Linked DNA regions of Saccharomyces cerevisiae S288C. The gene in region 1 interacts genetically with each later gene. Each region holds a gene or a part of one and is shown in the gene's direction. Other genes may lie near its edges.

Region 1 (5,570 bases):
TTGCCAGTGATATAGATCATCGCCGACTGGACCGGCTGAACATGAAGTAGGTGGATCTCTAGTTCAATAGCATGTTGATTTTGTTAGTAAATAAGAGCATAAGTTTTAAAAAAAAAGCACGCATTTGAAACGTGGCCATAACTTTAGACATACCTTTCTAGATCACTTAGTTCTTTAGCAATACGTTTAGAAGAAGACATGTTTTTTTGGATGCTTGTTTATGTATGTACTCTATAGTCAGTGAAATTTATTTACTTGTGGCGATAGTGATTTTCCTGGCTTCTTTACTTTATTTTTTTTCAGGATAGATTTATTCTCTGGATTATTTATTAAGATGAAAAATAAGAATAAAGAAAAAGAAAGAAGGATGAAGAAAAAAGAAAAATACAGGCCAAGGCCTTTCAAGGTGAGCTGTTGCCAGGTTTTTCCGCAGCGGGAAAAATCTCGCAGACCATGTGACCGCCGGTACTCCTTTTCCTGTTGCTCGGCCATTTGATCCTCGCTTCGAGAAAAACTATAACAATTGATTAGTGCGGAGAGGAGGATAGGCGGTAAGATCAGTTTTGTTTATTGTATAAATGAGATACTTTGGAATAAGGACATTAGCCTTATGTTACATCATTTCTTATCACGTAAGACTACTTATTGTCAAACTTTTTATGAAGTCATAAGGTGGACATATGAATAGTGCAGTTACCCTTGTTCAGGAATGACACCTTGTGCATTCCAGTGAGAAAGGAATGTTGACTAAAACAGTAGCTGTGCTTTTTTTTTTCTTTTTTGCCTTTTTATTCTTAATGTTCAAGAAAACTTTCTTTCCATGGAATGTATGAGGACCCTTTATTTTGAGGAATGGGTTCGAATTTATCATGCAAATTGGCAAGAATTTACTAAGTGGACTATATTTAAAGAGTTGAATTTTACGGTGAAAGTAAATTAACGCTACTTCTGTTGTTTTGGAAAAGCCAAGTTCAAGTTTCTTTTCTTGATTATTTATTCTCGTAACGATTTCGCTTTTCCTCTCTATATATTTTCCTACTCCATTCTGTAAAGAGCTTCCAGAACAAAATATAAATAAATAAAAAAAACTTCTCTTCAGGCAAGAGTACGTTCTTCGCTGGTTTCCTACAGAATCAAAAGAGTACTGCAGCTTATTGTACACACTTACAATATTCAAAACATGTGTGGCCTACTCGGTTCCTGGCAAGGTTAAGCCAAGTGGTGTAGTTACCAGAAAAAAGTGAACACATACAAGATACGATGCGTAAGTACATAAGGTATGACAGCCTGTAACAAATCCACGTTAGATTTATATCTTCTAGGCTGAGAATCTGGCAGGTTTTAGCAAAACATATATAACTTGCTCTCATTAAGCGGGCTCACTGCTTAAGCGATTGTTACCTGGAACTACAGGCAAGTACAATAGCCTCCTCCAGCTTTTGACTCTGAAAAAAAGGTAACGAAAGAAACTTTTCACACAGATAGGAACTATTCTAATATTACAGTAAAGCCAGCTATGGAATAACAGGTGGCATGTGCCCACTGTATTCATGTATGAGCGGCCTTTTTTTTCCACGAAAACAGATATGATGATGTTTTAGGCCAAAATGGTGAGATCCTTTTACAGGAAGATTTTACGCCAACTCTTTCCATTTAGTGACACAGGTGAGGGTCTTTTATCGGCGCAAGGTGTTTCAGATGAGCCATTTTGCCCGTAGTCCGGTTTAATCAGCCTCATTGGAATTCCCCGGCACCGCTCGCATTCCGCGTACGACTCAAAGAATTTCCCATTGAATTCGGGAATGTGCGTGTTTCAGATTGCGTTTGCTTATTATTCTGGGAAACTCTCCGGAAACAAGCTGAGCTGGACTCCACGAATGGTCCCTCACAAGGCTCTTGGCTCATGCACAGTTAAAAAGCACCTGTAGCTACCATCAGCAATCCATGGTGCTGGAGTTTCTCTCGATGGTACGGCCCATAGCTGGAGAAAATAGCTTATTACCAAAAAAGTAATTCCCCCGCAGAGGTATATATTAAGTTTGAAACAAAAGGCTTGCTTAATTTTTTACATATGACAACCCTTTTCTTACTTTTATAAATGTTTATGAAACAGGAGATTCTTCGACTGGTGCCAGATTCCTCCCATATCGACAAGAAGAATAATCCACCTATTTCAACAATTCTGATACCTGTTTAACCATGAGTCTTAAAGAAGACGACTTTGGCAAGGATAATTCTAGAAATATAGAATCATATACTGGTAGAATTTTTGACGTATATATACAAAAAGATTCGTATTCACAGTCGGCCTTGGATGATATGTTTCCAGAAGCCGTAGTTTCAACCGCCGCTTGTGTGAAAAATGAAGCGGAGGATAACATCAATCTCATAGACACGCATCCTCAATTCGAACTGGTAAATACTGGACTGGGTGCTAAATCGGACGATTTGAAATCTCCATCAGCAAAGGCTACGTTCACTGACAAGCAGAGGAAGAATGAAGTACCAAATATATCTGTGAGCAACTACTTTCCCGGACAAAGTAGCGAAACGTCGTCAACAACGGAATCTTGGACTATCGGTTGTGATAAGTGGTCAGAAAAGGTAGAAGAGGCATTCCTTGAGGCACTTAGACTGATAATGAAAAATGGGACCACAAAAATAAAAATAAGAAATGCCAATTTTGGAAGAAACGAGCTGATTTCATTATATATCAAGCACAAAACCAACGAGTTCAGAACCAAAAAGCAAATTTCTTCCCATATTCAAGTCTGGAAGAAGACCATACAAAACAAAATCAAGGACTCGCTGACCCTATCATCAAAGGAGAAGGAGCTTCTACACCTTATCGAACATGGCGCTGAACAAACTACTGAAAACTCAAACCTGTTTTATGACATATTTGAAGAAATTATCGACTCTCTACCTTCAGTCAGTGATTCTGGAAGTTTAACCCCTAAAAACCTCTATGTAAGTAATAATAGCAGTGGATTGTCAGTACATTCAAAACTGCTTACGCCAATCACTGCTTCCAACGAGAAAAAAATTGAAAATTTCATAAAAACTAATGCTGCATCTCAAGCCAAAACCCCCCTCATTTACGCTAAGCACATTTATGAAAACATAGACGGCTACAAGTGCGTTCCGTCAAAGAGGCCTCTTGAACAACTTTCCCCCACGGAACTCCACCAGGGAGATCGCCCCAATAAGGCTAGCTTTTCCAACAAGAAGGCAATCCTGGAGAGTGCAAAAAAAATCGAAATAGAGCAGAGAAAGATAATCAACAAATACCAAAGAATTTCCCGCATACAAGAACATGAAAGTAATCCTGAGTTCAGTTCCAATTCCAATTCCGGTTCAGAGTACGAATCGGAGGAAGAAGTAGTCCCAAGATCAGCCACAGTCACACAACTCCAAAGCAGACCAGTGCCATACTACAAGAATAATGGAATGCCCTACTCACTCTCCAAAGTACGAGGAAGGCCCATGTATCCAAGACCTGCTGAAGATGCTTACAATGCCAATTATATTCAAGGTCTGCCCCAGTACCAAACATCTTATTTTTCGCAGCTGTTATTATCATCACCCCAGCATTACGAACATTCTCCACATCAAAGGAACTTTACGCCATCCAACCAATCGCATGGGAACTTTTATTAAATGTCTACATACATACATACATCTCGTACATAAATACGCATACGTATCTTCGTAGTAAGAACCGTCACAGATATGATTGAGCACGGTACAATTATGTATTAGTCAAACATTACCAGTTCTCGAACAAAACCAAAGCTACTCCTGCAACACTCTTCTATCGCACATGTATGGTTCTTATTGTTTCCCGAGTTCTTTTTTACTGACGCGCCAGAACGAGTAAGAAAGTTCTCTAGCGCCATGCTGAAATTTTTTTCACTTCAACGGACAGCGATTTTTTTTCTTTTTCCTCCGAAATAATGTTGCAGCGGTTCTCGATGCCTCAAGAATTGCAGAAGTAAACCAGCCAATACACATCAAAAAACAACTTTCATTACTGTGATTCTCTCAGTCTGTTCATTTGTCAGATATTTAAGGCTAAAAGGAAATGTTGTCGAGACTATCTTTATTGAGTAACTCGAGGGCGTTCCAACAGGCCAGATGGCGCATTTACCGCTTAAAAGTTTCGCCAACTGTGCATGCTTCTCAATACCATATTCTTTCTGGTAGGAAACTTGCTCAATCTATTCGAGAAAAAGCCAATGATGAGATACAAGCCATTAAGCTTAAGCATCCTAATTTCAAGCCTACCTTGAAAATCATTCAAGTCGGGGCCAGACCAGACTCATCTACGTACGTGAGGATGAAATTGAAAGCTTCAAAGGACAGCAATGTAGACTGTATCATAGAGAAGTTACCAGCAGAAATCACTGAAGTTGAGCTTTTGAAGAAAATTAGTGACATCAATGATGATGACTCTATCCATGGGTTGCTAATTCAACTACCTCTACCGCGTCACTTGGATGAAACCACGATTACAAACGCTGTGGACTTTAAAAAGGACGTTGATGGGTTCCACAGATATAATGCTGGTGAATTGGCTAAAAAAGGAGGGAAACCATACTTCATACCATGTACTCCTTATGGTTGCATGAAATTACTTGAAGAAGCTCATGTTAAGTTAGATGGTAAGAACGCCGTCGTGTTAGGCAGATCAAGTATCGTCGGAAATCCAATTGCTTCGTTGTTGAAAAATGCGAATGCCACTGTTACTGTCTGTCATAGTCATACAAGGAACATTGCAGAAGTGGTCTCCCAAGCTGATATAGTTATCGCAGCTTGCGGTATTCCTCAATACGTTAAATCAGACTGGATTAAAGAAGGCGCCGTGGTTATTGATGTAGGTATCAACTACGTACCTGATATCAGTAAGAAAAGTGGGCAAAAATTAGTTGGTGATGTTGATTTTGATTCTGTAAAGGAAAAGACATCTTATATTACCCCTGTTCCTGGTGGAGTGGGTCCAATGACTGTCGCTATGCTTGTTTCCAATGTACTATTAGCTGCTAAAAGGCAATTCGTGGAATCTGAAAAGCTTCCAGTTATCAAACCTCTTCCATTACACTTAGAAAGTCCAGTGCCTTCAGATATTGATATATCAAGAGCTCAGAGTCCTAAGCATATCAAGCAAGTTGCCGAGGAGTTGGGAATCCACTCTCACGAATTAGAATTATACGGCCACTATAAGGCAAAAATTTCTCCAAATATTTTTAAAAGATTAGAATCTAGAGAAAACGGTAAGTACGTCCTTGTTGCAGGTATTACTCCGACTCCATTGGGTGAAGGTAAATCCACTACGACTATGGGGTTGGTGCAGGCTTTATCCGCTCATTTAGGGAAACCATCCATCGCGAACGTTAGACAACCATCTCTTGGCCCAACCCTGGGTGTCAAAGGTGGTGCTGCTGGTGGTGGTTATGCCCAAGTTATTCCTATGGACGAGTTCAATTTACATTTGACCGGGGATATTCATGCTATCAGCGCTGCGAACAATCTTCTTGCAGCAGCTATCGACACTAGAATGTTCCATGAAG
Region 2 (6,031 bases), on another chromosome or scaffold:
TTAATGGAACAGTACAATGCAACTCTTTCAATTTTTTAGCAATTTTTATTGAAGTATCCCGATCTATAAAGTCGGCTTGAGTAGATGTCCTCGAACCCTCAATGTATTTTTCAAATCTGCCATTTTCAAAAAACCCTTCTAGTTTGGGTCCTAAATCATAAAATGATAATCTCGCAATAACCTTTAATTCATACTCTCTATCAATTACAGAATCTATGCTATCACCAAAAATTCTCATCAGTAAAGGGGGTAAGTTTGGATAGTGAATCTTATAAATAACATTTGTAAGGGCCCCCTTGATTTGTGTCAAAGTTAATAAATTCTTATTCAACGAGGATTCTTTAGAGCCGGGCACAGACCATCCAGGAATCTCCAAGCTTTGTAAAACATTTATGATATCTTGTTTGAAATATTGAGATGGCAAAGACGGGTCTAATTTCGCGTTTACGTATGCCAGTTTGAGAAAATCATTAGCGGTTTGTGAAGTCCATGAGCTTGATGTCATCTCACCGTCTTCATTCGTGCATGTTATTGGCAGTTCATTTTTCAAGTCGACTTCTGAGTGCTCATTAGTATCGATGATGTGGATCACCCTCCTCGTTGGCTTGTCACAATTTGCAGACTGGCGCTTTTTCTTAGACATTTCTGGTGAGGCTGTGCCGACCAAGTAAGTTCGGGGCATTGCGTCACTGCTTGTAAGTGAATAATTGGTGTACATTATGCCAAATTGCAGATCTGTATCTGTTAATTTCTGCTACTACTTTCGTACAAACTATAGCTGCGTACCACAACAATTTAGTAATTTTGTGCCAATCTGTTATCTCAACAACGACATCTATTGTTTTGTAGATTTGCATACACTTTCTTTTGCAAACGACCTCCGGGTAGCCAAAACCCAAACGATATTTTTTTACTATCATCACCGTTTTCACATGCTGTCTAGTGGCCTAACTTATGAAACATAGTCAAACTACTTATAAAACTTCGGCAGTCAGACAGTTCTTTCATTAAATGGTGTCAAGTAGATATTTACGGCATTGGATTCTAGGGCCAATGTTATTTCTGTCTTAAAGGAGAGCGAATCAAATATCGGAGTGTTATTGTTAGATATTCTGAAAGGTAGTATGATTATCTGAAAGCCGATAGGAGTGGTACACTCCGCTCACACCTTGTTAAATATTCATTAGAACATCTCTGTTCCAATTCATAGCAGCATTGTTGGAAATATCTTGGTCTGAATCCCAATCCGGGCAAGTAGAGAGGATGAAATTTTCACTTTCGTACTTTAACCTGTTTAGGAAAAAGGTAAACAATAACAATACCTACCATTAGCGACTAATTATCTTTCTTTCTCCCTATAGATCTGCTCTATAAACAATGATTGAGTACTATAGAGGATCGTCTGCAATTTTATTCACTATTTATGTATTGGCACGGAAGACAAAAAGGCATCGTTGGAAGAAAGATTTGAGAACGACAATATAGATACCACCATATAACTCGTTCTTGGAGCTAGGTAAATAGATCCTGAGAACGTGTTTAACATCTGCGATATAATTAAAGCGCAATCAAATAAAATATTAACGTCATTGTTTTTTCGAAAAAGATGGATACATCAAACTCTTGGTTTGATGCCTCAAAAGTACAAAGCCTAAATTTTGACCTACAAACCAACTCTTATTACTCAAATGCTAGAGGCAGTGACCCTTCGAGTTATGCAATAGAAGGCGAATATAAAACACTAGCAACAGATGATTTAGGCAATATATTGAACCTAAACTATGGTGAAACCAACGAAGTTATAATGAATGAAATAAATGACTTAAACCTTCCGCTGGGACCACTTTCTGATGAAAAATCTGTCAAGGTTTCTACTTTCTCCGAGTTAATAGGAAATGATTGGCAAAGTATGAACTTTGACTTAGAAAATAATTCAAGAGAAGTGACTCTAAATGCAACTAGCTTGTTGAATGAAAATAGATTAAATCAAGACAGTGGTATGACTGTTTATCAAAAAACAATGAGTGATAAGCCCCACGATGAAAAGAAGATTTCCATGGCGGATAATTTATTGTCGACTATAAACAAAAGTGAAATTAATAAAGGCTTCGATAGAAACCTCGGGGAATTACTGTTACAGCAACAACAAGAGTTGCGCGAGCAATTGAGAGCACAACAAGAGGCTAATAAGAAGTTAGAGTTAGAACTCAAACAAACACAATACAAGCAACAACAACTACAGGCTACCTTAGAGAACTCTGATGGTCCACAGTTTTTATCTCCCAAAAGGAAGATCTCTCCTGCTTCAGAAAATGTGGAGGATGTATACGCAAATAGCCTTTCACCAATGATTTCCCCACCAATGTCTAATACTTCGTTCACTGGGTCACCTTCTAGGAGAAACAATAGACAAAAGTACTGCCTGCAGAGAAAAAACTCTAGTGGTACTGTAGGACCACTATGTTTCCAGGAATTGAACGAAGGTTTCAATGACTCCCTCATTTCACCAAAGAAAATTCGCTCGAATCCAAATGAAAACCTCAGTTCAAAAACCAAATTTATTACGCCCTTCACTCCAAAGAGTAGAGTTAGTTCAGCTACGTCCAACTCTGCTAACATTACCCCTAATAACTTAAGGTTAGATTTCAAGATTAATGTTGAAGATCAGGAAAGCGAATATTCAGAGAAACCTTTGGGCCTGGGTATTGAACTTCTTGGAAAACCAGGTCCTTCTCCTACAAAATCAGTGTCTTTAAAGAGTGCTTCTGTGGATATTATGCCTACAATTCCTGGGTCTGTAAATAATACTCCATCAGTCAATAAAGTATCCCTTTCCTCCAGTTATATAGACCAATATACACCAAGAGGTAAGCAGTTACACTTTAGCTCTATCAGTGAGAATGCATTGGGTATCAATGCTGCGACACCACATCTAAAGCCGCCGAGCCAGCAAGCACGACATCGGGAAGGCGTTTTCAATGATTTAGACCCTAATGTACTTACGAAAAATACAGACAATGAAGGAGATGATAATGAGGAAAATGAGCCTGAAAGTAGATTTGTTATTTCCGAAACGCCTTCTCCCGTTCTTAAGTCACAAAGTAAGTACGAAGGAAGATCTCCTCAATTCGGCACACACATTAAGGAAATCAACACATATACCACAAATAGTCCCTCAAAAATCACAAGAAAACTCACAACACTGCCCAGAGGTTCAATCGATAAATATGTGAAGGAAATGCCTGATAAAACATTTGAATGTTTATTTCCTGGATGTACAAAAACATTCAAGAGAAGGTATAACATCAGATCTCATATTCAAACACATTTGGAAGATCGGCCATATTCCTGTGATCACCCTGGATGTGATAAGGCATTTGTACGAAATCATGACTTGATAAGACACAAAAAATCGCACCAAGAAAAGGCGTATGCATGTCCCTGTGGTAAGAAATTCAATAGAGAAGACGCTTTGGTTGTGCACAGAAGTAGAATGATTTGCAGCGGTGGTAAAAAGTATGAAAACGTGGTAATTAAAAGGTCTCCAAGAAAAAGAGGAAGACCAAGAAAAGATGGAACTTCAAGTGTTTCTAGTAGTCCAATCAAAGAAAATATTAACAAGGATCATAATGGACAGTTGATGTTCAAGCTTGAAGATCAACTCAGAAGAGAGCGTAGTTATGATGGGAATGGAACGGGGATTATGGTTTCGCCAATGAAAACTAATCAAAGGTAAAAAAAAACATTGATGTTATGGACACTTTTTTTAATATTTAATAATAAAAACAAAATGAAAACAAGGAAAAAAAGTTTTTTTTTTTTTTAATTATGTATAATCTAAGTAAATAATATAGTATGAACACTTTAGATACAAAATATTAATTAATCAATTAATTTTAAAAAATTTCGCTTTATAGATACATATATAACAATGTGAACTATAACTTTAGGAATTTTTTCTGTGGAAGAGTGGAGAATGTGGGTAACATAATTATTTTTTTGTATTCAAGCTTGCAACATTGTTTCCATTGTTTTTTGCAGCTGCTACCTTATCTGATGTGATACTCTGCAATTTCTGGTTATAATTTTGAGAGGGATTCCATTTTCTTGTACTTCTTATTTCGTCTGCGGAATAACCAGGAATCCTAATATTCCAATTTCTCTCCAAATGTAACTGAATGTCTCTTGCCTCCAAATTGTCCGATTTTCTGTGTTTTGCCAATCTACAAGAAAAAGCTGTAACATTAGTAACAAAATCGTCGGCAAGATCCAATAGTAATTCCTCAACATCACCGTCAATGACAGTTTCACCGTCACCCTCATCAATTCCGACAGTCTTCACTAACTCTCTTAATTTACGCTTTGACATAACTCTCTGAGTATCCATTTCATAGGGTGGTAATTTAGTTGTTGCTGGTGTATTCAAAGCACTGGCATTCATAGCAGAACCTCCAGTTATTGTAGGTCTGTTGGATCTATAAGCTACCGGTGCTGGTGTTTTGGTAGATATATTTTCCGATATGGGTATGGCAGGCTCTGTTTGTTTGAATATTGCCGATTTGCTCGAACTTATATTATTCAACATAGATGCCGTTGCATTTACATTGGTTACCTTAGCTTTCGATTGTTCAGTCTGTGAAGTGTTAACATTGCCCCTGGGATTATTGGTGGCAGTTATTGTATTCTGCTGCTGCTGCTGCGATTTCAGTGCATCAGGGCCGGTTACAGAGGGTATTTCAGTAGAATTAGAACTAGAAATCTTTCTTTGGTTTTGACCCTGGCGTTGCTGTTGCTGTTGCTGTTGCTGTTGCTGCTGTTGCTGCTGCTGCTGCTGTTGTTGTTGTTGTTGTTGTACCCTTTGTTGCTGCACTCGTTGCTGTTGAGTGCTTTCTTGCAAGAATTTATGTAAAGCCGGATTGTGTCTTGCACACTCTACATAGAATGTTTTTTTACTGTTTTGATAATTATTGAACAGCTTGGTATACTCAATTTTTAGCACCTTCCAATCGTTAAGCAGTTCAATTTTCTTTTCTTGTAGCTGCTGCTTGGGCCCTTCGTCCGTCTGTTTATTTATTTCTTGTTCTAACCTATCAATATTTTGTTTCAAGTAGGTCTCTTTCTCCTTTATACTCGTATGACGGACTTGGAAATTCTGCCATAGCTTTTCATATTCTTGGTTCTCTTCCGGGGTGAGAACCTGTTTTATCATATTGCTAAATTTGTTACTGTTGTTTCTTGTCTGTTGTTGTTGTTGTTGTTGTTGCTGTGATGAATTAGGGACATTTTCAGTAGGAATAGAAGCTGGATTGCTTGAATTTGAATTTGAAGTATTATTGTAGGCTTGCGCAGCCTGTTGTCTTCTCCTATTCAGTGTAAGGGCATCATATACCTGTTTGATCTTTGCGGCTTGGAACATCAATTCCTTGCCCCTAGGAGTAGTTTCACCTACATTTCTTGCTTCAGTCAGTAATGTCCTGAACTTAGCGGCCATTTCTTGCAACTGTCTCGGTTGCAGTACCATATTTTGCTGAGCTCCTGTGATCGCATCAGCGTTACCAGTGCCCGTATTATTATTCGCATTAACACCAGAATTTTCTGGATTGGAAGACATTGTCGTATTTTATACACACACTGGCAAAGATTCGGTTATGATTCGAATGCTATTGGACAGTCTCCTGTCTTACACTAGCGAACCTATGCGCTATATATGCCCATTATTCATTTGCTCCGACTTAAGTCTAACACATTTTTTAACAAAATTCGCCGCGTATACTGCCCGGGTAATACAGCCAAAATCGTGATATTCATTTGATACGTTTACTTGCAAAGCTGTCATGAATCAAGATTGTACATTTATATACCATAAGGTGCTCTTCATATTCAACAATGCATTTAATTCATCCTCGCTACGCTTACTAGACCCTATTTACTAATTAAGACGGGATTCATACACATCGTTTTGCACGTAGAAAGTTACACGCGTTTTTTTTTTTTTGAAGTTGAAATTTCAGCTACGCATCGAGAAAGTTTA
Region 3 (6,481 bases), on another chromosome or scaffold:
TGTCTCTACAGTAATATTCTTAGAAACTCTGGTCCACAGAATGCTGTTTTTGTCTTTGATCTTTTTAGCAGTATTGGAGGGGTGTAATTTCGGGGCATACAAAGAACTACATTGCCTGTACCAATGGTAGCACCGCAGGATTTGAATATCGTCTATCATTCCGCCATGATATTCTGCTACATTATGATCCATTAATACATTTTTTGCATGTAGCTTTAGTGAATCTCTCGATAAATACAATGAAGTAATGCATAATATAAAAAGTATTCTCCTTAAAAAATTAAATCTTCTTCTATAATGTAATCTCATGCAAATATTTGAAGGGTATTGTTTGCGAAGGTCAATGAATGTGATAAGAGCTAATTGTTGGAAAGTAAAATAATCGAAAGGAATGAGAAAAAGGTAAGTTATTTAAATCTCTTTTGGAAATGAAACTAAAGCAACTTGAAAGAAATTTCAAGAAATAATGAAAACCTCGAATTAATCGACAAATGAAGAGTACTGCAGAACCGAAATTGAAAAAAAAGGTCGTAAAGTTGAAATGAATTGAAGTCAGAATTAAAATAGAAGGGGTATTGTTGCGGCTAAAGTAAAATAAAGAAAGGAGAAGTTAGAAAAAGCAACTCAATGATCTTGTGTTCGAGGCTATATTATAATAAGTTTAGGACTTGGCATTATTTCAGATCAAAAGTATAAAAATTAAAACTGTCCTTTATCTGTCAACCTTTTTATTTTTGTTTGATCCTTAGAGTCTAATTTATGTCCGTAAATAGAAGTTTTCGGATTGCGGGCGCAGTTAGCCTCCAAGCGGAGTTTCTATAGTATTGAAAACGTAAACTAGTAACATATATGCGGTTCAAAATTACTAGAGAAAATGAGATCATAGTTTAAAGAGACATACGTTATTTATCTGGCGGAAAGTGTATAGAAATCTATCTAATTATCAGAATCGATGTCATCGTCATTGTCATTATCGTTACCATTGTTAATATTGTTGGTGGCTTGTTCAGGATCTCCCATACCATCGAAAAATTGCGAACGCAATGTTTTTAATGAATTTTGGTCATCCTCAGCAAATTTTAAGCACCCGCTATTGCTTTTCAACGCTTCCGCGACTACTTCTTCCGTGGGAATTTTACCCTCTTCACAGTATATGAACATCAGCGGAGTTTCACTTGCGTACTTCGTGCCATGCTTGATGGCTTCTTGAACGACAGAAGGCGACGAACATTTTTTCACCTTGAATTCTGTTCCCAACGTATTACTTTGTATCCATGACCATGCACCGTTTCTGCTTCTGATAAAGTATGAATATGGCGATAGTGCTGCCATTGTGAGGATGTAGGGATTTTCGATCAGTCCCAATTGCTTTGCAGTGTTGATTATGTGTGTCTCTGGATGTGAAAGGTTCCATTCTCCATGCAGTTTGGACGCCAAGTCCTTATATTCCTCCATTTTAGCGGCTCTCGCAGAATTTAATGTATCTTTCAACGATGCGATCTGCTTTGCTGCTTCATTATTAGCATCGTCAGGAATTGTTTGTAGATACGCCAGCGTCGACTCTAGAATAGTGGATATGTTTTTGCCTTGGTAACTCTTTAACTCGTTGATCTCTTGAAGCAAGCATCTGGATCTGGTCCGCGCTTGCTTTCGTTTAGAAATAATATGTCTTATTAGTTGGTCTTTGCACTGTTTGGTGTAAAGCTGTGGGTAAAACTCAAGCGGTATATCCACGCCATTGGGTAGAGACACTGATTCTGTATTTGTTTCTAGTTCATTGAACAGGATTGTTAATACGGGTGCCACCTCCTTCAAAGTATTCTCCGGTTCCACATATCTCGCCTCTTCTTGCTCGCCACCACGAATCACGTCTTCTTCTTCTTCCTCTTCTTCGGGGTACAATAAAACGTTGAACATTTTATATAGATTAGAATCGTACTCTTCAGGAAGAAAATGAAACAAGGACAAAAACGTCTCCATTGGAGGTTCATTCTTGTTCGGAGTATGCAAAGCAGAAGATATAAAGAGACTTCTTGTTTCCCGGTCTCTGATCCCAGGACACATTTCCAAATCCACTGCCAATGATTTGATAAACGCTGGGAGCACCTCATAAAGATGCTCGGAATCGGCCAGCTTGGACCTCAATTGCGGTTCCAAGGACGACGTAAACACCTTGGCCGAAACAAAGGCTCTTTCACACTTTCGCGTGTTAACCACGGAGATGAGTTTTTGCAACTGCCAGAGCAGATGCGGTTGCAACCCTTCATTAGGTCCGCTGGCCAGCACGATCTCCGACGTAGTGGAACCATCTTCTGCCTCGCAATATGCAAGTCTGTATTTGGGCTCCGTAAACGATGAGCCCTTGAACCAGTCTGCCCTATAGTTCAAATCCTTAAAGTCCGGTTTCAAGAACACGTGTGGGAAATACACGGCCGTGAGCAACGCAAACAGCCCAAAATAGCTCTCAATTAGACTATTCAAGGGTAGCGGCAACACAACCGTAGGATCGCCCACGTTCGACTTGAACTCGTTGTGTTGTACTATACTATAAGAGGGGGGAGGAATGGATGTCTCCGATATAGAATAACGATCGTAGTTCTGAGCAGTAACCCTGCATCCGCTGGTGCTATTAGAACCGCTGCGTTCATCCGTGATGTCTTCATCGTCATCATAATCAACATCGACACCACTCACATCCGGCATATCAATGTCTTGGTCCCCGTTGTTCGGAACATCGCAGGGCTTGGTTCCAGCCACTATTTTGTTCTCAGAAATCCTAGGCTGACTGCCATCATTCTCCTCACCCATTTCCGCTTGCTCCGGCAGCTCGTTCGAAAAGATGAAGTTAACTGCTGCCTCCAAATTACCGCCAGTTCTTTGGAGGGCGTCCACAGCTACTTCGTGTGGAATACCCATTTCTAGCAGTGACTTTACAGCCTGATTATCCATCATCGTAGCTTACTTAACAAAAATCAATTACTTAAGATTCCTTTTACAGGTGACGACTCTCCTTTTCCGGCTTCTTCTCTTCTTTCCTCTACTCCGACAGGTCCTTAAGCCTTGTAGTGAGAAGTACCTTTCAACAATAGTATCTTTTACTTCCGTGCCGGGTCGCCCGGACATCACCCGCCCGGCACAGATGCCTTGGCAGCAAGCGCATCCATCGCTGCATCTCCGCCGGAAAAACAGATGTTCAGTACATGAAAAGACGTTTTTATTCGACATAAACTTTTTCAGCTAGCAAGAAGGATCTCTTTTTAAACACTCTATACAGGTGCACACAAAGGGTTGTTGAAACAGAAACACAAACGCACGGCGAAATAATATTATTTATTCGACTTACGAATTTTTCAAAGAAGTCGTACTGGTGTGAAGTGGAAAGTTTCAAAGATAGTTTGAAAAGCAGGGAAAAAAGAACATAGTGAACCTTCATCGCCACAGTGACAGGTTCAAGGAAAAAATTCACACACACACACATACGCATACGCACACAAAGCACTCAGCTCTATATACATAACAAAGAATATTGTAATTCGACACTATTTGGTACATTCAGAGGGTCCTAAGACAGCACAAATCAGTTATATAGAAAAAAAGAAGAAAAAATCATGAGTGAAGAGGAAACGGTCTCAGCCCCAGCTCCAGCTTCTACACCGGCCCCGGCTGGAACCGATGTAGGTAGTGGTGGAGCAGCAGCTGGAATAGCTAATGCTGGTGCTGAAGGCGGCGACGGTGCCGAGGATGTTAAGAAACATGGGTCGAAGATGCTAGTGGGGCCCAGGCCGCCACAAAATGCGATATTCATCCATAAGCTATACCAGATTCTGGAGGACGAATCGCTACACGACTTGATATGGTGGACCCCTTCGGGCTTATCCTTCATGATTAAGCCTGTGGAACGGTTTAGTAAGGCTTTGGCTACATATTTCAAGCATACTAATATCACGAGCTTTGTAAGACAGTTGAACATTTACGGCTTTCACAAGGTGTCGCATGATCATAGCAGCAACGACGCTAATAGTGGCGACGACGCCAATACTAATGATGACAGCAATACTCACGATGATAATAGTGGCAACAAAAACAGTAGTGGCGACGAAAATACCGGTGGCGGTGTCCAAGAAAAGGAGAAAAGTAACCCCACTAAAATCTGGGAATTTAAGCATAGTTCTGGTATTTTCAAGAAAGGTGACATTGAGGGACTCAAACACATTAAGAGAAGAGCTTCTTCCCGTAATAACTCCTCAATTAACAGTCGAAAGAATTCTAGTAATCAAAACTACGATATAGATTCCGGTGCAAGAGTAAGACCCTCTTCGATTCAAGACCCGTCCACCAGTTCCAATTCCTTTGGTAATTTCGTTCCGCAAATTCCGGGCGCCAATAACTCTATCCCCGAGTACTTTAATAACTCTCATGTAACTTACGAAAACGCAAACCATGCCCCGCTGGAATCCAATAACCCGGAAATGCAAGAGCAAAACAGACCTCCGAACTTTCAAGATGAAACACTGAAACATTTGAAAGAAATAAATTTTGATATGGTTAAGATTATAGAGTCTATGCAGCATTTCATATCTTTGCAACACAGTTTTTGTTCACAGAGTTTCACCTTCAAGAATGTGAGCAAGAAAAAATCGGAAAATATCGTGAAGGATCACCAAAAGCAACTTCAGGCATTCGAAAGCGATATGTTAACTTTCAAACAGCACGTCATGTCGAGGGCCCACCGTACAATAGATTCTCTTTGTGCTGTAAATGCTGCCGCTACCGCTGCCTCTGTCGCCCCTGCACCCGCGCCCACATCCACATCTGCATATGCACCCAAATCTCAGTATGAGATGATGGTTCCTCCAGGGAACCAGTATGTCCCGCAGAAATCTTCCTCGACCACGAACATCCCTTCGAGATTCAACACGGCTTCAGTGCCGCCCTCGCAACTTTTTGTACAATACCAACCGCAGTCGCAACAACATGTGACTTATGCGAAGCAACCGGCACATGTACCAAACTTTATCAATCAGCCGATACCCATCCAACAACTACCTCCACAATATGCAGACACTTTTAGCACTCCACAAATGATGCACAATCCTTTTGCCTCGAAAAATAACAACAAACCGGGCAACACGAAGAGGACCAATAGTGTTCTCATGGACCCGCTGACTCCCGCAGCGAGTGTTGGAGTTCAGGGTCCACTAAACTATCCTATCATGAATATTAATCCTTCTGTCCGTGACTACAACAAGCCTGTCCCTCAAAATATGGCTCCGAGTCCAATATATCCTATTAATGAACCAACAACGAGATTGTATTCTCAACCAAAAATGAGAAGTCTCGGGTCTACAAGCTCTTTGCCCAACGATAGAAGAAACAGTCCTCTGAAGCTGACACCGAGATCATCGTTGAATGAAGATAGTCTGTATCCCAAACCTAGAAACTCTCTCAAATCCAGTATTTCGGGCACGTCTTTATCCTCCTCTTTTACACTAGTTGCCAACAATCCAGCCCCAATTCGGTACTCTCAGCAGGGATTGCTTCGCTCATTAAACAAAGCTGCTAATTGTGCTCCAGATTCGGTAACTCCATTAGACTCGTCTGTCTTGACGGGCCCTCCTCCAAAAAACATGGACAATCTTCCTGCTGTTTCTTCAAATTTAATAAACTCCCCCATGAACGTCGAGCACAGCTCAAGCCTATCACAAGCAGAACCTGCACCACAAATAGAACTACCGCAGCCATCTTTGCCCACAACGAGCACCACTAAGAATACTGGCGAGGCTGACAATAGTAAGAGAAAAGGGAGCGGTGTTTATTCTTTACTGAATCAAGAGGATAGCAGCACGTCCAGTGCTGATCCTAAAACTGAAGATAAGGCCGCTCCGGCACTCAAAAAGGTTAAGATGTGATCTTTGCCTTTTTAATCTCTAGTTGTCTAAAAGTTCAAAGCACCTCACTGTATGTTTATTACCTTTGTTCCAATTACTTTTGTTTCAATTACTTTTGTTTCATTTCATTTTAGGTATCCCAACGGGTAATCATTGTTATTTATTTTATTCACTTTTTTTTCTTTTCCTCCTGATCCTTGTGATTATAACTATATTTTTACCAACTCCGGTAGTTGTTTTATTAAGTTTTCATCACACTAAATTGTATTTTCCACTTTCATTTCCACCTTCCTTTCCCCTACCTCCCTTCAATTCGTATCATAATACCGCCCGTTCTTTCTAGTATATCACAGAATAGCTACGGGGTATTGTCTCATAAACAGAAAAATGCACCTTTCGATAAACTTCCTGTACAATAATTCTATAAGTATATATGTATGTTTGCTATTAAACAACCATCACAAAAAGACACCTTATTCTTTATGGACGCCTTCAAGTTGTGCTCCTATTCTGTAGTTGTTGCACCATGCATGTTACCATCATAGCCGTCTAAGCGGGACTATTTCCTTTTGTTAACACCTATACTAATTAAA
Region 4 (5,307 bases), on another chromosome or scaffold:
TGATCTAGACGTGTTCATCTTGGACACTGAGCAGTTTTACAGGAAATCGTATGGCGAAAAGGGCAGCAGTCTGGGCAAGATTCTGCGGTTGTTCGAGATACCGCATGCGTTTCTACACAATGCCGGTAACGATGCCTACTATACCCTGCATTTGTTCATGAAGTTTTGCGATGTTAATTTCAGGAAAATAAGCGGCATGGACGATGTTCTTAAAGTAATGGGCCAAGTAAAAGTTTGGGGAGAACGAGACGTACGAGAGCCTAAAGTGGTGCCCATGTCGTATGCCATCTCCATCGAGGAGGCAGTCAAAAATCGGACGTACCGCAAGGGCGTCAAGAGCAGTAGGAAGGAAAGAGTCTGCCAAACGGAATTCGGTGGGTTAACGTATTTCGGAACTGCTAAAGACGCCTTCACAAGCACTCTTCCGACACACTAAATATATTCATCGATTTTTTTCCTGTAAATACAAACACATGCTTGTATACATATACATATACATATATATAAGCTCATTATAAACCTGTGTGCATGGAAAAAACTTTGTCTGCCCTTAATTTGCAAGAATAGGTTCTAACAATTCCTCCAATTCACCAGTCTCCCTCAATTCCTGCAAGTCGTCGTTGCCTCCAATATGTTTACCATTAATATAGATGTTTGGCACGGTTCTTTGGCCATTAATCTCATATAACGCAGCCTGAATGTCTGCGCCTTCCTTCATGTCATTCAATTGCAAAACCAGAACTTTGGACCTGGGAACCTTTAACTTTTCAAAAAGCGTGTTTAGGGCTGCATGGCAGTATGGACAGTACGTTTTGGATGCGACGAAGATCTCGTTTTCTGCAATAAGGTCCTTGACGTGCTTGATAGTTTCTTGAGATACCATTTTTTTTCCTTCTGAGGTTTTGTCTATTTGTATAATTATGCGAATGCTCGTATAAGTACTGCACGAAGTTCTTTATTTTATGCTAAAGTCCCTTTTTATATTATATAAACTTTTCATTTATTTTATATATTTACTCCTTTCAAGACAAAATTCCCACATCACGTGAATCAGGAGGCGCAAGGGGGGTAGTAAGGCAGTAGTAGATAAAGAAAACAAGCATCGCAATCTGGAAACGCCGTTGCGGCTGCTCGTTATCTGTAGACAGCTCACTTGTGCATGAAGTTCATGTTTTATAGATGATGGAGCCATACTTCAAGGTGATAACTATGAAACTGTTTTGACCTTGACGTGTAAAGTGATCAAGGTAATAGTTAAACTTTATATATGTTGTTTATCAATGTGGTATCCTTTCTAAGGATGAAGACAACACGATTGTGACAGTGTGAGAGAGTGATAAAGCATTGGAGGCAGGCAAAACAAGAACATGGGGTTTCTTTCGGATCATCCGCATACAGCTATCACCGAGACGATCTTTCGAATTGTCTCTTCAAGGGACTATACGCTAGAAGTGGAGTTAGCTCCCTTGATTCAGCTTATCAAAGCAGATCACAACGATTATAACTATACCGTGAACCAAGAAGAAGCTGCGCGAGCACTTAGAAAGAAAATAAAGTATGGGAACCGGCTGCAGCAGTCCAGGACTCTGGACCTCTTGGATCTGTTCATCTCACAAGGCGTGAAGTTTACAGTCATGTACAATGATGACAAGCTGCTGCAAAGGCTGAGAGGGATGGCTACGAACTCTGAAAACAGCGGGTCCGGTGAAAAGTATGAGCCTAGGATTATTAAGAAGTGCGCGGCGTATGCTATCTCGTGGCTAAACTATATTACGCAGAACAACCTTGAGAATGCGAGGGCGTATTCAGGTCTTTATCAATTGGGTCAAACAGTCAAACAGAGGTACTCGAAGAGCAGCCGTTCCCGCCGTAGCGGCGGAGGCTCTGGCGGACGGTCTAACTTCATGGATGATAGCGCCGACGACACTTTGTACCAGTCCAACTCGCTGACTAGTGCCGATAGATTGTATAGGATTCCACAGATCAACATGAACAAAGAGGCACCCAGGATTCGGCTCATAATCAGCGATGCTCTCGCGTCTGCTGTGTCGTTACAGAACTCGCTGATCGGGCTGCCCAAGGGCAAGTTCTCCACAGACGATGAAGAGGCCACGTCCAAGTTCATCCAGGCAAGGGCGATCAGAAGGAAAGTTCTTAGATATCTGCAATTGGTCACGGAGGGTGAGTTTCTGGGTAGCTTAATTCATGCCAATGATGAACTGGTGGCTGCGTTGACTGCATACGACGACCGAAGCGCTCAGGACGATAGCAGCGATGAAAGTGATCACGGCTCGTACGATGACGGTATTTATGATGAAAACGAGCAGGATAACAGCAGGTATATTGATAGCGAGTCCTCAGAGGAAGAGAGCTTGTCTTCTTATCAGCCGTCCACGATCTCAAACCCTTTCGGTGATCATAACAAAATTTGAAGAAGTATGTACGTATGCATACACACATATATATATATATATATATAGTACATTTAATCCTTCTTGAGGTTTAAAGACGCACTGTTCACACAGTGTCTGGTGTCCTTGGGCAAGTTTAGCAACTGTTTCCAGCCTTCACCTTCAAACACATGTCCCAAGTGTCCACCACACCTTGCACAACATATCTCCACCCTCGCAGGCATTAAAGAATTGTCACGATGATATGTGATGGCTCCAGGGGATACCTCTTCGTAGAATGCGGGCCATCCACAACGAGCGTCGAACTTGGCCTTGCTCGAATACAACGGTCTGTCGCAGTTGGCACAATGGTAGACACCGGACTCGTTGGTGTGTAAATACGCACCGGTGTTGGGCCTTTCAGTGGCCTTATCTCTCAGCACCATCAGCTGCAATGGTGTCAGGGCATCGTTCCACTTCACGTCATTCGATTCGTCACTCATTTTCTTGCTCTTATTCCAGTACTGCGTCAGTACAATGTTTCTTCTCCCTGGAAAAGTCCTGCGTACAGTTATAACGTACAGCCTGCTCCACTTATTCATTTTTTGATATTGCTTCCTTTCTCCCTTTATTTAAACTATCATCGGCGACATATTTCCCAATAGGCAAAGCTGAAAAATACTATCGCTAATTATAACAAAGAAGCTAGGTCGAAGGACTCGAAAAGACAGAGGTCGTACTAGCAGAGATAGCAAATCAGATGGAGGACGGTAAACAGGCCATCAATGAGGGATCAAACGATGCTTCGCCGGATCTGGACGTGAATGGCACAATATTGATGAATAATGAAGACTTTTCCCAGTGGTCGGTTGATGATGTGATAACTTGGTGTATATCCACGCTGGAGGTGGAAGAAACCGATCCATTATGTCAGAGACTGCGAGAAAATGATATTGTAGGAGATCTTTTGCCGGAATTGTGCTTGCAAGATTGCCAGGACTTGTGTGACGGTGATTTGAATAAGGCCATAAAATTCAAGATACTGATCAATAAGATGAGAGACAGCAAGTTGGAGTGGAAGGACGACAAGACTCAAGAGGACATGATAACGGTACTGAAAAACTTGTACACTACTACATCTGCGAAATTGCAAGAATTTCAATCGCAGTACACAAGGCTGAGGATGGATGTCTTGGACGTAATGAAGACCAGCTCAAGCTCTTCTCCGATTAACACACATGGAGTGTCCACTACGGTACCTTCTTCAAACAACACAATTATACCCAGTAGTGACGGTGTGTCTCTTTCACAAACAGACTATTTCGACACAGTTCATAACCGACAATCACCGTCAAGGAGAGAATCCCCGGTAACGGTATTTAGGCAACCCAGTCTTTCCCACTCAAAATCTTTGCACAAGGATAGCAAAAACAAAGTACCCCAAATATCTACAAACCAATCTCACCCATCTGCCGTTTCAACAGCGAACACACCGGGGCCATCACCTAACGAGGCGTTAAAACAGTTGCGTGCATCTAAAGAAGACTCCTGCGAACGGATCTTGAAAAACGCAATGAAAAGACATAACTTAGCAGATCAGGATTGGAGACAATATGTCTTGGTCATTTGCTATGGGGATCAAGAGAGGCTGTTAGAATTGAACGAAAAGCCTGTGATCATATTCAAGAACTTAAAGCAACAGGGTTTGCACCCCGCCATTATGTTAAGAAGAAGAGGTGATTTCGAAGAAGTAGCAATGATGAACGGAAGTGACAATGTCACCCCCGGTGGAAGACTCTAATGTGCAGTTGTCATGCACATCATCATACTAAACTTACACGAATAGGATAACATGTATGCTAGCAGAATATATATGAAAGAAAAAAATTATTGATGCCTTTAAACTTATACTATTATACTATATTATGTTATATTATATTATTAGTTTTATAGATATATTGAGATATGTTGAATATGATGACGAGGATGGTGGTTTAAGTGTATGGATTGAATTTTCTCTTAGCTTTCATTACCTTGATTCTTTCTTGATCTTCCTTAAATTTACTTAACAGTTGATTGATCTCCTGTTTTTTACGTTCTCTGACCTGAAATCTATAGAAATCTTTCTTTGCCTTTTTATCTATATTTGAAATTGGCTTGGCCTTATTTTCATGTTTGGATAATGGATTTTTGTTTAATATTTTCTTTCTTATGGAATTCAATGACTTGGTGTTCTTTCCTACAACTAATGTGAATCCATCCTCATCCACTATAGAACTTTGAACATCCTCTTGTGCTTGAGCTTCACGCTGTTCAAAAATTGCCATATGTGTATGAATATCTTCTTTCAAATAATCAATATCCAGTGGTTTGTAGAAGTTAACAAAAGTTGTGAATGATGGAGTCGTATATGTCCATTCAAATAGTTCATTTGGATGTTTGGCATGCAAATTCGAGTATTTTTTCAAAGCATTCCAGCAGTTATTTATACTTGCAGCATCAACAAATTTTAATAGCGCCGTGTTTCTTGGTGTGTATCTCTTCTCGTTGACGTCAGTGGAGGACATCAGATCGGAGGTCAATGCCGATAAATCTACTTCATGTAATCCAAATTCATCGTTATATAGTAGTTCCTCTACATGCGATACTGTATCGTATTTCCCACAGAGCTGCCCGACAAATTTCTTCATGTGCTCTATGTTAGATAATAATGGAAGGTTGACCAAAAACAAACAGTCAGACTCGTTGGAATTTGAACTCTGGTGTCTTTTAGCAAACATGAAATGCAACGAAGCTTCCTGGCTTTTGGGTAGTGCCTTGTGATCCGGTAATTTGAACGGCACCACTATAAACCCGTTCTTCATGGCGCTAATGTCTTCAATACCCATCCCGTAACACTCTATCTGAGGTTGTTATC

Evidence for each region.
Region 2: mutations in TEC1 (region 1) and SWI5 together harm fitness more than expected from each alone (negative genetic interaction), as found in Saccharomyces cerevisiae (3 studies listed by BioGRID).
Region 3: of TEC1 (region 1) and SFL1, changing one suppresses a phenotype caused by changing the other (phenotypic suppression), as found in Saccharomyces cerevisiae (4 studies listed by BioGRID).
Region 4: mutations in TEC1 (region 1) and STE50 together harm fitness more than expected from each alone (negative genetic interaction), as found in Saccharomyces cerevisiae (2 studies listed by BioGRID).

The regions. Positions count from the first base shown.
Region 1 is NC_001134.8:406,970-412,539, forward strand, and holds TEC1 (Tec1p), read left to right. Parts: upstream 1-2,199; coding exon 2,200-3,660; downstream 3,661-5,570. Other genes in the region: E2 ubiquitin-conjugating protein UBC4, read right to left, coding at 1-58, 154-200; trifunctional formate-tetrahydrofolate ligase/methenyltetrahydrofolate cyclohydrolase/methylenetetrahydrofolate dehydrogenase MIS1, read left to right, coding at 4,085-5,570. UniProt on the Saccharomyces cerevisiae protein: TEC1 is involved in the activation of TY1 and TY1-mediated gene expression. It is not involved in mating or sporulation processes.
Region 2 is NC_001136.10:746,318-752,348, reverse strand, and holds SWI5 (DNA-binding transcription factor SWI5), read left to right. Parts: upstream 1-1,606; coding exon 1,607-3,736; downstream 3,737-6,031. Other genes in the region: bifunctional choline kinase/ethanolamine kinase EKI1, read right to left, coding at 1-718; TAF12 (Taf12p), read right to left, coding at 3,992-5,611. UniProt on the Saccharomyces cerevisiae protein: Determines the mother-cell-specific transcription of the HO endonuclease gene that is responsible for the initiation of mating-type switching in yeast. Recognizes a specific sequence in the promoter of the HO gene.
Region 3 is NC_001147.6:583,373-589,853, forward strand, and holds SFL1 (Sfl1p), read left to right. Parts: upstream 1-3,608; coding exon 3,609-5,909; downstream 5,910-6,481. Other genes in the region: SIA1 (Sia1p), read right to left, coding at 1-309; RUP1 (Rup1p), read right to left, coding at 937-2,952. UniProt on the Saccharomyces cerevisiae protein: Involved in cell surface assembly and regulation of the gene related to flocculation (asexual cell aggregation). Mutations in SFL1 causes constitutive cell aggregation.
Region 4 is NC_001135.5:60,291-65,597, forward strand, and holds STE50 (Ste50p), read left to right. Parts: upstream 1-3,150; coding exon 3,151-4,191; downstream 4,192-5,307. Other genes in the region: GFD2 (Gfd2p), read left to right, coding at 1-436; dithiol glutaredoxin GRX1, read right to left, coding at 551-883; LSB5 (Lsb5p), read left to right, coding at 1,368-2,432; MXR2 (peptide-methionine (R)-S-oxide reductase), read right to left, coding at 2,486-2,992; RRP7 (Rrp7p), read right to left, coding at 4,385-5,278.